Canis lupus familiaris: one gene and its partners. The protein of the gene in region 2 purifies or fractionates together with the protein of the main gene of each other region. This does not show direct contact. Links are inferred from orthologs where the notes say so. Each region holds a gene or a part of one and is shown on either strand. Other genes may lie near its edges.

What was found. The genes of interacting proteins can lie anywhere in the genome.
Region 1: the proteins of SETD1B (region 2) and WDR82 purify together in Homo sapiens (affinity purification with western blotting; 4 studies listed by BioGRID, with this or other methods). This does not show direct contact. The link is inferred for Canis lupus familiaris from reciprocal best matches to the Homo sapiens genes SETD1B and WDR82.
Region 3: the proteins of SETD1B (region 2) and CXXC1 purify together in Homo sapiens (affinity purification with mass spectrometry; 11 studies listed by BioGRID and IntAct, counting the BioPlex papers as one, with this or other methods). This does not show direct contact. The link is inferred for Canis lupus familiaris from reciprocal best matches to the Homo sapiens genes SETD1B and CXXC1.

What each region holds. Positions count from the first base shown.
Region 1 is NC_049241.1:37,900,506-37,905,323, reverse strand, and holds the start of WDR82 (WD repeat-containing protein 82), read right to left. Parts: upstream 3,257-4,818; 5' UTR 2,948-3,256; coding exon 2,787-2,947; intron 2,462-2,786; exon of another isoform or gene 2,328-2,461; intron 1-2,327. UniProt on the Homo sapiens protein: Regulatory component of the SET1/COMPASS complex implicated in the tethering of this complex to transcriptional start sites of active genes.
Region 2 is NC_049247.1:7,680,217-7,684,593, reverse strand, and holds part of SETD1B (histone-lysine N-methyltransferase SETD1B), read left to right. Parts: coding exon 1-61; intron 62-1,375; coding exon 1,376-2,629; intron 2,630-3,488; coding exon 3,489-3,655; intron 3,656-4,377. UniProt on the Homo sapiens protein: Histone methyltransferase that catalyzes methyl group transfer from S-adenosyl-L-methionine to the epsilon-amino group of 'Lys-4' of histone H3 (H3K4) via a non-processive mechanism.
Region 3 is NC_049228.1:78,682,591-78,687,533, reverse strand, and holds the start of CXXC1 (CXXC-type zinc finger protein 1), read right to left. Parts: upstream 3,257-4,943; 5' UTR 2,445-3,256; coding exon 2,442-2,444; intron 1,868-2,441; coding exon 1,749-1,867; intron 1,650-1,748; coding exon 1,549-1,649; intron 1,289-1,548; coding exon 1,053-1,288; intron 962-1,052; coding exon 767-961; intron 341-766; coding exon 314-340; intron 237-313; coding exon 1-236. UniProt on the Homo sapiens protein: Transcriptional activator that exhibits a unique DNA binding specificity for CpG unmethylated motifs with a preference for CpGG.

The DNA of each region.
Region 1 (4,818 bases), on a different chromosome or scaffold from region 2:
TCTTATGATCAGGTATGAATAAATAATATTAAAGCCTGCTCTATGAATAATTTGCATCACCCAGAAGTCAATCTTTTATATTCTTTCATGTTGAAAAATCACTCAGTGGATGTTAACAAAACATGGACAAAATGAACACAAAACTAGAAAATATGAAGCATAAAGAACATTGTTTTAGCCATTTTCAAGCTCAAATTCTAACATTAGTACCATTTAGTAGAGCTACTATGCCTTCCGAAAAAGCAGTAACTCTTCTACCAATGTTGGTTTGACTTATACTAGGGGCAATTTTTTTTCCCTTCACATTACCACTTAAGATCATGGACTCGGAATCCCTGGGTGGCGCAGTGGTTTAGTGCCTGCCTTTGGCCCAGGGCGCAATCCTGGAGACCCGGGATCGAATCCCACATCGGGCTCCCAGTGCATGGAGCCTGCTTCTCCCTCTGCCTGTGTCTCTGCCTCTCTCTCTCTCTCTCTCTGTGACTATCATTTAAAAAAAAAAAAAAAGATCATGGACTCTTTAGGGTGTAAGACGTCTAATATTCAGAGAAGTGATCTGACCTCGGTCATATACTTGGTCACAAGGCCAAACTAGAACCCAGGTCACCTAACTACCAGGCCACACTCTTGCCACAGACCAAATGTCACAATTCACTGATAAGAGAAAATTTAAAAGAGCATGCCCTATACTATTATAGCAATGCTAAATTTTCTAATTTGGATAACGTGCTCTGGTTATATAAAAGAATGTCCTTTTGCTTAGGAAATCCATGTTGAAGTGTTTAGAGAGAAGGGGCTTGATACCTCCAATTTATTCTCTAATGGTTCAGAAAAAAATGCACACCTAAATATTTACATAGAGTGATAAAGCAAAAGGGGTAAAATGTAGCCAATTACTAGATGATATGGGAAATTTGAAATACTGTTTTAAGTTTTCTGTAAGTTTGTAATATGTAAAATTGCTACATGAGTAAATAAACTGCACTGTCATAAAATTAACATTTTACTTTTTTTTTTTTTTTTTTTTGGCATTTTACTTTTAACAAGACAGGACTTCCAAGTCATTGTCATTGCTTCCAACGAGTAGATATTATGCCACATTTGAAGACAACTAAGAAATGCTGTCACATGTCACAACCTTTATTTTCTTTGAATGAGAATATACATCTCCATCCTCAGGTTCCAGGAAGAGGTTCTAATCTGTGCACAAGCACTAAACATTAAGTCAGCCAGCTTCAAATTACTTTTAGCTTCAGAATCCAGCAACCCTGACACTCACTGCAGACTTATATGTTACTCTCTTCCAAGCTGATTCAAGTGGCCAGACCTGAACAGAAATCCATCTACTAAATGAATAATGGTCCAGCTAACAATTCTCTCTTTCCCCAGGACCACCACTTAGGCCAGTCTTCCATATACTGCAGGCAGATCCAGAACCAGTTACATAATACTTTTTCACAGCTCTCGTGGGGAAAAAAACTGGGGAGAAGATACAGCTTAAATCAAACCAGCATTACTTTAGATAACCAAATTCACAAATGAAGAGATAAGTTCCAAACGAAAGTTTATAGAAGGCACTGGTTTTAAAACAAAATAAAAGGCAAAAGGAAAGTGGGAGAATAGAAAACCTCAAGGACTCAAAAACTAAGATCTGCAACCAGGTAACAAAATGAAATCTGACAAAACCAGTAGCCACTGAATTAAACCAAATACCTGGAAACCTACTTGGGGAAGGTGGCTGAGGAAAGTAAAATCTAGCCTAAACCAGTTTCTGCTCCAAAGGAGCTCACAATTTAACAAGGAGAGAGCAAAGCAGGTCTACAAAGGGTAGGTGAAGCTGACAAGATGCCCAGAGAAAAGGGCAAAATGTGCTTTTAAGACTTTACAGAGATGGGGTGCAATGGATCTCCAGAGGACTTGGGGCAACACAAATTTCAGACCCTTAAAAAGTGTAATTTTTAAAAAAGTGTCTAAGAGGAAACATGAAATTGTTAGATTAGAATGTATTCTTTGTTTTCATAGCAGGTTCCCACTCAGGTCGGGATGGGACGGCCAAGTTCGTTTTTTTCCTGACAAAAAGGAAAAGTTTCTGATGTTGTTAAAAAGTTAACTACCACTAACTACATTAGTTAACTAAACGTGGGCATCGGGTCTGAGGGAGTAAGAGAATGATTTGGAACAGAAAGGAAAAGACAGGAGGCCCAAAGAGGCACAACAAATAAATCCTGACAGCTAAGAACTACGACCCACGCGGCCTTCCGGCAGAAGGCCGCGGGAAGCTGAGGGGCAGGGGATGGGCGGAGTGCCAGGGCTGAATCGAGGTCACCGAGGAGGGCAGAGCGAGCTGTGACGCTGCCGACTGAGGCAGGAGAGCAGCCTCTGCGGTTCTGCGCGGGGGTCGGAGCTGACCGGCACCTTTGACAGAGTCGGAGGAGCGGAAAAGCTGCCTGCCGGGGCCGAGGTGGGCGGACCGGGCGTTTAAAGGTCAAGGTCAAGGTGGGGTTTGGAGAGCGAGGCAGTAGCGTTTTTCCAGGAGGCCGAAGTCATACGAAATGATAAGGATATTATTTACCACTCTCATTTTTAAAAGAAAAGTAAAGGTCTCCCGGGCGGCTTCGGAGTGGAAGCGGCCCTGACAGCAGCGAGTGCAAAACAGGCCGGGGGAGGGCGGCGGGGCCGGGGGAGGGGACGGACAGCGGGATGAGCGCTGGGCCAAGAGAAGGAGGGAGGGAGGAACGGGCCGACGACACGCTCGGGCTCGGGCCCAGGGCCACCGCCGCACTCACTTGCCCTCCTGGCAGTCGTAGAGCACGATCGAGTCGTCGTCGCTGCTCGAGATGACCGTCTCGCCGTTGGGGCTGAAGTCGAAGCAGTTAATCTTGTCCGAGTTCTCGCGAAACACCTTGGCGACGCGGAAACTCCGCAGCACGCTGTCGGTCAGCTTCATGGCGGCGGCGGCTGGAGGAGGCGGCGGCGGCGGCGGCGGCGGCGCAGGGCTGGGGCGGGGCCCGGCGGCGAGCGGGCGGGCGGACTGACTGCCTGCCGAGGGGCCGACCCGGGCGGGGCGGGCGCCGCGCCGGCGGCGAGCGTAAGGGCAGCCGACAGTCGGCCCACCTCCTCCCCTTCCTCCTCCTGCACGTGCGACGCTCTTCGGGCCAGACTGCGGGGGCTCGCGGACCGTTCCTCCTCACGGTCGCCTCAGGGCCAACCGGCGCGACGCCGGCTCATTGTGTCCGCCATCTTGGGACGACAGGCAGAAGCCGAGGGCGAGGAGCCTTACCGCGGCGCACGCCGGGAAAGGGGGCGGGGCGGAGCGGGGGCGCGAGGCGGGCCGGTGGGGCGGTGACGTCAGTGCGGCCGCCCAGGAGCGGAGTGGAGTGGCGGGGTGCCCGAAGGCGGCGATTCTCTGGCGCGCAGTGGGGCCCGAGGGGCGCGGTTGTCCACCGCCTTCCCGCTGGGCCCGGAGGCAGCTGTGCCTGGGAGCCGTGAGCCTTTGCGCAGGATCGCAGTCCCCCTTAGAGGCTCCCCCTTCCCCAGGATCGCAGCCCCCCCTAGAGGCTCCCCCTTCCGCAGGCCACGGGGAGCAGGTACTGCGGGGGTCGGCTGCGCCACTGGAGGCCTGTTCTGGGGGTGAGTCAGTGGACCTATGGCTGGCGGGCTCTGACTGCTCGTGCACTACAGCGCCAGCATAGTTTCAGTTTCAGGTGGGTTGTTTGGTTTGGTTTGGTTTGGTTTTGTTTTGAGGTGTAATATACAGTAGCCTGCACAAAGTTTAAGTGCTTTTTTTAAAAATTTGGATATATACCTGTGTGACTCCTACCCAGAAGTTTTCTTTAAGCCTTCCTTAAAAACTTTTTAATTGACACATAACATGAAGTGCATAAAGTGAACGGATTTTAAGTGTACAGCTCCACACACTTGTAAGCACTTTTTAAGACATTTATAGCCTCAGAACTCATAGCATCAATTGCATGGAAATTTTTTAAATGGAGTTTTATCTCCTTATTCAACAAAATACAATTTTAAGTTCTCCAGATTTCCTCCTTTTTCGCATCTCTACGTGAACTTTATAAGTGCAACCATCTTTTTTTTCCTAGGTCAGTATTATATATTAAACATTTTTCCATGTTAGTAAACCGAATTGGCGGTGGTGTTCTTAATCGAGGTATCATTTATGTGCAGTAAAAAAAAAAACTGGCCTTTTAGGGACATCTAGGTGGCTCAGCAGTTGAGCGTCTGCCTTGGGCTCAGGGCGTGACCCCAAAGTTCCAGGATAAAGTCCCACATCGGGCTCCCTGCTTGGAGCCTGCTTCTCCCTCTCCCTCTGCCTAGGTCTCTCTGCCTCCCTTTCTCTGTGTCTCTCAAGAATAAATAAATAATCTTAAACAAACAAACAACCCTGACCTTTTAAATGGATAGATTTATAAGTTTTGACACCCATATTGAGTTGTGCAACCACCACCACATTCAAGATATAAAACAGTTACATAACCCTCTTTGTAGTCAATGGGGTTGTCTCAGTGGTTTGTTTAAGGATTCATTGCCTTAAAAGGAAGGAAAATTGGTCTCTAACAAAGGAAAGTGATATCTGATCACAAAAAAAGGTACCAGGCACCTTGGCTTTAACTTTCTATGCAAGGGGTCAAACTCAGTGCAACCTATGGGAGTTCATAGATCTCTAACTTGTGGGCAACTCTTCAAAGACTAATTGCCTGGGGTCTTTAACAATGGAGACAGGCCTGTTTATTTTGCTTCACTAAACTGCAGTGGCTAAAGAGGAAGAAAAAGGAAGAGGAAAGACTTAAACATTAAAATCAG
Region 2 (4,377 bases):
CCAGAACCCCCTGCTGGAGAGGTGGAGGCCCGACCCCCGCCTTCCCCAGAGTGCACCCCAGGTAATACCTGCAGCCCCCAGTGGGGCGGTGGGGATGGAGGAAGGATGTCCTGCCCAGGCTCCTTTGGGTTAATCTCCGAACCTTCCTGAGCTCCAGCTTCCTCATCTGTAATGTGGGATCAATGGCTAGTGTCTCCCCAATGGGGTCCTGTGGGAGGACAAAGTGAGGTGACACAGTGTGCCAGCATGGAGCCTGGCACATTAGCCAGAAGGTGCTAGTCCCTTAAGGGAACCACTGCTGTCACAGGTACTCAGTGCCAGTATTCCCCTCATGGTTTGGTCCTTGGCCCATTAGTCCCAATGGGATGCTCCCAGAAAAGTGGGGGGATGGGAGAGCAGGTGTGCATGGTCATTGTAGTGACAGGCAGGTGAGGGAGGCTCCGGGATGCTGGACCAAGTAAGAGGGGCTGTGGGCACCACCACTTCTGTGGCACTGCACAAAGTGTATTAAAAGCTCTAACATACCATCCAGTGGGACTTTGTGCAACGATAAAGATGCCCTCTGTCTGCCCTGGCCAATACCATAGCTATTAGACACAGTGTTGCTAAGAGCACTTGAAATGTGGCAAGTGCCACTGTGGAACTAAATTTGTAACATTATTTAAGTTTAATTAATTTAAACTTAACCATGTGTGGTTAGTTTGTACCTCTGATAAGTTGTTTAGCAAAAAAACCTGTTGTATTTTGTTTAATTCTGTATTATTTGTCTACAGAACCACAGTCTTGAATATTGTTGTAGGCACTGACAATACAACAGTGGGCCAAACAGACAAAAATAGCTGCCTTCATGGAGCTTACATTCTGGGGCTGGGTGATAAATGACAGCAGATAAGTTAAAAAAATGTATTATATGACGGTGAAGATAAATGCTAGGAGAAGGGCTCTGATAAGTCCTGCAGAAAAGGGACTTGTTGAATTTTTACATTTTATTTTATTTTATTTTATTATTTTATTTTATTTATTTTATTCAGTAGCAGAGCTCATTTTCTTGATCCACAGGACATCACCATTCTAAGGACATAATGCCAAATGCTAGCTAGCAACCATGTCTCCTATGTCTTTCATTTATTCCACCTTCATTTTCAAGCATCTACTGTGTGCCTGACCCTGGGCTGGGCACAGAGAAGCCTTGAGTAGTATAGCTACTACTATACTAGTAGTATAGCTATAGGGGGACAGTCCCCGTATTCAACTCCAGGAGGCTCAGAGGACTATGAGGTCAGGTATTAAGCACATAGTAGGACAGCATAAATAAGGCACCAAGAGTTGTTTGAATGGAATAGTAACGGTCGGGTTTTTGCCTAACTCTTTGCAGAGGATGACCTGGAAGTGGAGCCCCCTCCGCTGCTCTCCTTACCCCTGCAGCCGCCACTACCACCCCCTCGACCACCCCGGCCGCCGAGCCCACCACCAGAGCCCGATACCCCAGACCCTGCACATCCACCTGCCCCTCTGGAGCCCCCTCCGGAGGAGCAGCCCCCGCGTACTCCCGGCCTCTGTGGCAGCCTGGCCAAATCACAGAGCACAGAGATGGTGCCAGCCACACCGAGTGGGGAGCCCCCACTGTCAGGGGGCAGCAGCGGTCTGTCCCTGAGTTCCCCACAGGTGCCTGGCAGCCCCTTCTCCTACCCATCGCAGTCCCCCAGCTTGAGTAGCGGGGGTCTCCCGAGGACACCTGGTCGGGACTTCAGCTTCACACCCACCTTCCCTGAGCCTGGTGGGCCCCTGCTCCTGCCTGTCTGTCCCCTCCCAGCTGGCCGACGTGATGAGCGGTCTGGCCCCCTGGCCTCCCCGGTGCTCCTGGAGACAGGCCTGCCTCTCCCCCTGCCTTTGCCCCTGCCCCTGCCCCTGGCCTTGCCCGTACCTGTCCTGCGGGCCCAGACACGGGCCCCTGCCCAGCTGCCACCTCTGCTGCCAGCACCGCTGACCCCCTGCCCACCCCCCATCAAGAGGAAGCCGGGCAGGCCCCGGCGGTCCCCGCCGGCTGTGCTCTCCTTGGATGGGCCCTTGGTCCGGCCACCGGCGGGGGCTGCCCTTGGCAGGGACCTCCTCCTCCTGCCAGGTCAGCCACAGACCCCTGTCTTTCCCAGTACCCATGACCCCCGGGCCGTAACCCTGGACTTCCGGAACGCGGGGATCCCAGCACCCCCACCACCTCTGCCCCCCCAGCCTCCTCCACCCCCACCTCCACCCCCTGTTGAGCCCACCAAGCTGCCCTTTAAGGAGCTAGAGAACCAGTGGCCCTCCGAGGCCATCCCTCCAGGCCCTCGCGGGCGTGATGATGTCACTGAGGAGTTCATGGACCTGGCCAAGGTTCGGGGGCCCTGGCGCCGGCCGCCTAAGAAGCGCCACGAGGACCTGGTGGCCCCAGCCTCACCTGAACTCTCGCCACCACAACCCCTCTTCCGGCCCCGGTCCGAGTTTGAGGAGATGACCATTCTGTATGACATCTGGAATGGTGGCATCGACGAGGAGGACATCCGCTTCCTGTGTGTCACCTACGAGCGGCTGCTGCAGCAGGACAACGGCATGGACTGGCTCAATGACACCCTCTGGGTCTACCATCCCTATATCCTAGCCGACAGGGCGGGGTCCTCATCCCCCTCTCTGGGCCCGATCTCCCAGGACATCCGTGGAGGCACTAGCACAAATGCCCATCTCCTACCAAGCAGCATCTGTGCTGGCACCACACCAGACTCCATATGGAGTCCTCATTGGCACTTCTAGACACACCTTCTGTGTCAGGCTCATCTCAGCCCCAGAGTTAGGAGGTCTCAGGGCTGATTGTACAACATCCTGGCAGCAGAGGCTGACAGGGCCCACTCTTCCTAGCCCCCCTCATCACCTCATTTAATTTCCCAACAGCTCAGTGAGGTAGGGGGCCGTTATTCATATCTTATATGGAAACTGAGACTCGGGGAAGTTAAGCTACCTGCCTGAAGTCCTACAGCTATGAAGTACCAGAGCTAAGATTTGAACCCAGGCCAGTCTGCCCTCAGAATCTGGGCTCTTAACCATGATGTTGCCCTGATAGTTGGTAATAACCACAGGCAGCACAATCCAGTTGGAGCAGTCATCACCCCCATTATGTCAAACTGATTTACTGAACACTTCCTCTGTTGCAGGAAGTCTGTAAGCACATAATCATGCAGAGAGGCATTGTTATCACCCCAGTTTACTGATGGGGAAACTGAGGCAGGAAATGGCTAAGAAACAGCCAGGGCCATGCAGCTAGGTACCCCTGGCAGAGTTTTGTCCATCAGAGCTGGCCAGTGGGCAGCCTCATGGAGGTGGCTTAGGTTCCAGGGGTGGGAAGAACCCCCTGGAGTTAGGCCTTAGGGTAGAGGCTGGGCCCAGTGGGACTGGTCTCTGGAAGGACTGGGAGGGGCTCTCTAAGAATGTCCATGTGGCCCTTAACCCACACCCACCCACCAGCCTCTCTTCAGCTAAGAAAAAGAAACGGGATGATGGCATCCGTGAGCACGTGACGGGCTGTGCCCGCAGTGAGGGCTTCTATACCATCGACAAGAAGGACAAGCTCAGATACCTCAACAGCAGCCGCGCCAGCACCGACGAACCCCCAGCAGACACCCAGGTACTGCCATCAGGCGCCTAGACACACCGGAGCCACCCAGGCTGCAGTGGCAGGGGGATTTCCTAGCTGGGGTGCCGGGCTATAGGAGGGGTTGTGGAATTTGGCTGGCACAGAGGGTGTTACCCCTCACCAGGCTGCTTAGGTTGGAAAAGAGAGGCGAGGATGGAAAGTGGGAGCCTCTGAGTTTTTCATCAGGGATGTGAGGATAGTGGAGTTGTGTTTCCAGAAAGTTCATTCTTTCCTTTTTAGATTCAGCAAATGTCTGTTGAGTGCGGGTGATTTTAGGCACTGTTCTGGGTCTACAGTAGGGAATGAAAGAAAATCCTTTACAGGAGGTAGGAAATAATCAAGTGAACATATAAACATGGCATTTCAAGTAGGAGAAGCAGGAAAGGAGGTCAGGGATTGGCGAGTCAGAGGGGTCAGAGGTGACAGTTCAGCCAGATCTGAATGGAGTAAAGAAATGAGCCACGTGGATAACTGGGAGAGGCCACAGAAAAGTAGAAAAAGGCTTCGATAAAAACTTAAAACGGAAGCGTGCCTGGCTGGCTCAATTAGTAGAGCATGCGACTCTTGAGATTGTGAGTTCGAGCCTCATGTTGGATGTGGAGCCTACTTAAAAAGTTAAAACAGGAGAGGTACTCGCTAAGTCTGGAAATCATGCACAGAGTGAATAGCATGTGCAAAGGCCCTGAAATGGGAAGGATCTTGGGTGGCATGAG
Region 3 (4,943 bases), on a different chromosome or scaffold from region 2:
TCATCAAAGGCCCCTGCACAGAAGTCCTGGTACAGGTCAGGATCCAGTGGTAGGTCCTCATCTGAGAGTGGCTCAGGTGTAGCCGTAGCCTCCGGTGGCTCCTTGACTGCTGATGATGCCACTGCCCCCTCGTCCTCACGGATGCGCCCCAGCTTCTGTGATGGCTGTGGCTGCTGCTGGGTGGGCAGTGGCCTGCGAGGCCGTGGCAGGGACTCTGAGGGCGTCACTGGCGAGAGCTGCAGGGCAGAATCTCAGGACTGGCCCTGACCGCCCTGCCCGCATGCCCCGCCCCGCCCTGGGGGGCTGGACTCACCGAGGAAGGGAAGTACTTGTACGATTCCTGTGCCGGCAGGAGGAAGGCCCAGGTCAGCCCCAGGTGGATGGAGGGTGGCCCTGCCCTAGCCCCACCCACAAGAGCCTAGCCCACCAACTGCCCTGTGTTGCCTCCCAGACACACCTAGTACCCCCGCTTCACATCACCAGGACATGCTCAACCCTGCTCCACCTGCCCTGACGTGCCTGACCGCTGAAAATGGCCGGGGGGGGGGGGGGGGGGTCTGCCCTGCCCACCTGGGGTCGGGGATGCCCCTGCTAGCCCCACACACCTGGTCACGCCCTGTTCACCTACACAGGCCAGGCTCCTTCCCACCTGTCTGTGTGTAGCAAGGCCCCAGCTCACCCGCCCAGCCTGCCCCCTCCTGGCCTCCACGAGCCTTTCCTGGACACACTGACACCCCCAGCCCTGCCCAGCTCTACCCATGCTCACCCGGGCCCGCAGCTGGCACTGACGCAGCCGGCACTTCTGCCGGATCTTGTTGGGGCCCCCAAACTTCTTCATGTCCCGACAAAAGTCACAGTGGCCACAGTCTTCGGTGCGCCGGCAGGCCTCACACTCGCCACACATGCGGGCTGACCGTTTGATCTGCTGCTGCTGCTGCTGCTGCTGCTGCTGCTGGTGATGCTGAGGGGAGAGGCCCAGTACAAAAATCAGGAACGTGTACGGGGCCTGCGGGAGGCTCAGCTTACCTATCCCAGCCCCAGCAGCCACTCACCTGGCTGGGTGTGGCCACCAAGGGCTGTGGAGAGGATTTGTGGGGCGAAGCAGAGCCCCGAGCAAGCATCGCCCCAACCCCTGTCCCTGACCCCGCCCGACGCTGCAGGTCTGGATCCGGGGCAGGCCTCTTGCGCCCTCCACCCTCATCCCGGGGCTCACTGCCGTCTCGCTCATTGCTGTCCCGCTCCCGTGACTTCTTGTGCCGATAACGGATTTCCAGCTTGGGGTCTTTCTCTGTGGGGAAGACAGTGGGGCCAGGGTGGGTGGACCCTGAGGGATTCGGAGGGTTCCTCTTCATCTTGGTCCCCCCCACCTTCTCCCCGTCACTCCTCCGGGGCAGGGCTACCCCGCTGGGGGACGCTCTAGCCAAGCGCCCGTTGGAGTCTCCGCTGCAGCTCACCACAAACCGAGTCCCTCGGCCCGGGACCCACCCTCCTTGAAGGCTTCTCCCTGGAGGCAGGTGGGTGTGCCCCCCGTCCAGGCCGCCCCCTCACCTCGGCACTCCCGACAGTACCACTCCCGGATGGCCTTGGCCATCTTCTCAGTGATCCGGATGCAGTCCCCATGGAACCACTCATTGCAGTTGTCACACCCGCTGCAGAGGATGGGGTGAGTGGTGCAGATGTGAGGGGCCGCACCCATCAGCCTCACCCAACCTCGCCGGCGTCAGCCCGCCCGCCTCTCCCCGGCTCACATCATGAAGCAGTTGATGTCTGGTTTGCGGCAGATGCAGTAGATGGGCGCGTTCTCGCCGTTCTCCGACTTGCTGTCCTCCCCAGCGTCTGGAGGCTCTGGGTCGGAGCCGTCCCCCTCCTGCGGGACGGTGCCTTAGAGCAGCCCCACCACGGCCTCCACAGACCGCGACCGTCTGCCCACGCTTCCCACCGCGGCTCCTCGCGACCCTCCCGGCCCGGCCCACGCCGGCACCCCGACCTCCCGCCCCGCCCCGCTCACGGTCACGGTCGCGGTCACGGTCACTAGCGCCCGGGCAGCCCCGCCCCCTCGCGCCTCCCCGCCGGCCCGACGCCGACTGCCCCGCTCGCTACGGGCCGCCGGGCAGGCTCAGCCCAGACGCCGGGTCCCGCCGCCCCGCAGTCCCCGAGCGGGCCCCCGACGAGCTGCCGAAAGGCGTCCCCACTAACTTCCATCACGGAGCCGCGCAGGGGCCCGTCACAAAACTCCCAGGTGGCTCACACGTCGGAACAAGCTCGGAACCCCGGACCCCGACATTCCACCCGCAGCCCCCTCTGAGGCTCCCCACAGGCCCCCGCCCGAGCGCCCGCGGACGCCCCTGACGGTTCACCACAGACCCCCCGAGTCTGCCCACGGACCCCCCGCCGCCGACCCGCCGACCCCTACCGCCGACCCTCCCCGGCCCCGTACTTACCATCTCTCCGCTCTCGGCGCACCCCTCTGCGACCCCCGCCAGCGACCCGCGAACCCGCACAGACCTCTCGGCGGCGTCCGCGGCCGTTGTAAAGGCGCCCACAACTACTTCCGCTTTGGTCGCGCCTCCCGGGCACCGTACTCTTATTGCGCAGGACTAATGCGTCGGCTCCGCACCAAACAAGTCGATCCGCCGCCTAGAGCCGCCACGGTCTCTCAGGCGCCACCATCTTGACGACCAAGACCGTACGGCGGTCAGGGCCGTAAACTAGTAGGAAACATGGCCGCACCTATGTGGCCGCTTTCGCGAGGGCACCGCCACCTTGTCGGCCGACTCCGTACGGTGGCCGCTCGTACGGACTCAACGTTACAGGAAATATGGCGGCGCCTGTGCGCGGCTTCCACGCAGATGCCGTCATCTTGGAAACTGATTCCGTAAGATGGCCGAGTCCGTACGTTCACGGGCAATGCATGGCAGCGTCCTACCCGCGGTCTCCAGGAGGGCGCCGCCATTTTGGCATCGACTCCGTACGATGGCGGCTTGCCCTGCAGAGAAGTTCAAAGGAAAAGCGGCTGCTCCCGAAACACCACGTGCCTCGAGTTACACTCCGTCTTCCATTCACTCACGTTTCCCTCCCACGTGTGTTAATGGGGCGCCAGCGGACTGTGCCCATGTTCCCCCGTTCTGTGTCTGACGTCATCCTCACCACCCTTTCGCGCCCCGGGTCCTCCTCGAAGGTCCTCAGCCCAGCCCGGCGCCCTGCAGCCTCGGCCCTTGCGGGAGCGCGGTCACCCTCCGAACGGAAGGATGCAGGTGAAGGGCCCGACCCTGGTGACAAGGGGCCGAGCCACAGCAGACCCCGGAACCCGAGACACCGGCTACACCGCGTCTTCCCCTGACCCCGCCACCGCCGGGATGTGGATTCGCCGGGATCCCCGTGACGTCCACTCTGGCTCTCTTCCATCAGACATACTCAATTCTCTCCTATGAAGTTAGTTCTTACAATTTTTTAATTAGACTCCGTACATTTAAAAAAAAAAAAAAAACCGGACAGGTCGGAGCTCTGGACACGTCCTTAAGGCCAGGCTGTAACTCAGGCAACCTGAGCGGTCGGGCGGGTTTTAACGGGTCAGCGCCCCCGCCCCAACCCCCAGCAGATGCGCGAGCCCGGGTCACAGGGAATGTCCGCGTTCAGGGTCACGACTCTATTCAGGTTGGGGGGGCGGGGGGCCTGGGGAAAATGAAACTTGTCACCGGGTGCTGACAGTCGTTCTGGATTTCTTGGCTCTGGACATCATAGTAACGTACTTGCTCCTGATGATTCTCCTGAGGGCGGTGTCGGGTCTGATTTTTGTTTTTGTTTTCACCTTTCCTAGACATTTTTACTCGTGGCCCCTCCACACCGTCACAGACAACCGAAGTCACAGGAGCTGCATCATGGACTGTGTGACCCTCTCTCCTTAAAACGCGTCTTCTTCTTCTTCTTTTTTTTTTTTAGAATTATTTATTTATTTATGATAGTCACAGAGAGAGAGAGAGAGGCAGAGACACAGGCAGAGGGAGAAGCAGGCTCCATGCACCGGGAGCCCGACGTGGGATTCGATCCCGGGTCTCCAGGATCGCGCCCTGGGCCAAAGGCAGGCGCCAAACCGCTGCGCCACCCAGGGATCCCCTAAAGCCCGTCTTTAATCCACAAAGTGGACCTTCAGATCCAGACTTGCCTCCTTTTTCTAGTTAATACTGAATTAATCTTAATTTGATTGTAACTTATTTTAATTAACATAATTCTTCGAATTTAGTTCATTTAATGTATTAAATTAACTTTAGTTAGTATAAATGAATATGCATGTGTTGGTAAGATACTCAGATAAATTTAACCAATAAATTTCAAATAATTCAATTTTAACTTAATTACAATTTGATGTATGAAAGTAAATTTAAGGGAATATAGTTCAAGTTTAACTTAAATTAATTACTCATTTAATTTAACATCACTGACTTGACTTACTAAATTTAATTTTATTTAAAATATTAGTTCAGGGGAATCCCTGGGTGGCTCAGAAGTTTAGCGCCTGCCTTTGGCCCAGGGCACGATCCTGGAGTCCCAGGATCGAGTCCCACATCGGGTTCCCAGCGTGGAGCCTGCTTCTCCCTCTTCCTGTGTCTCTGCCTCTCTCTCTCTCTCTCTCTCTATCATAAATAAATAACTAAATAAATATTTTTTAAAAATAAAAATAAAAAATAAAATATTGATTCAATTCATTCAATTCAATTTATTCAGTTCAGTATTGTGTATCATTTAATTTCAATTTAATATTGTTTACTTTGTTATACTTTAATATGATTTGATTAATCCCATTTGAATTAACATATTTAAATATTAATTTAAATTCATCTAATTCATTAATTTTTTTTTTAAGATTTATTTATTTAGGGCAGCCGGATGGCCCAGCAGTTTGGCACTGCCTTCAGCCTGGGGTATGATCCTGGAGACTGGGGATC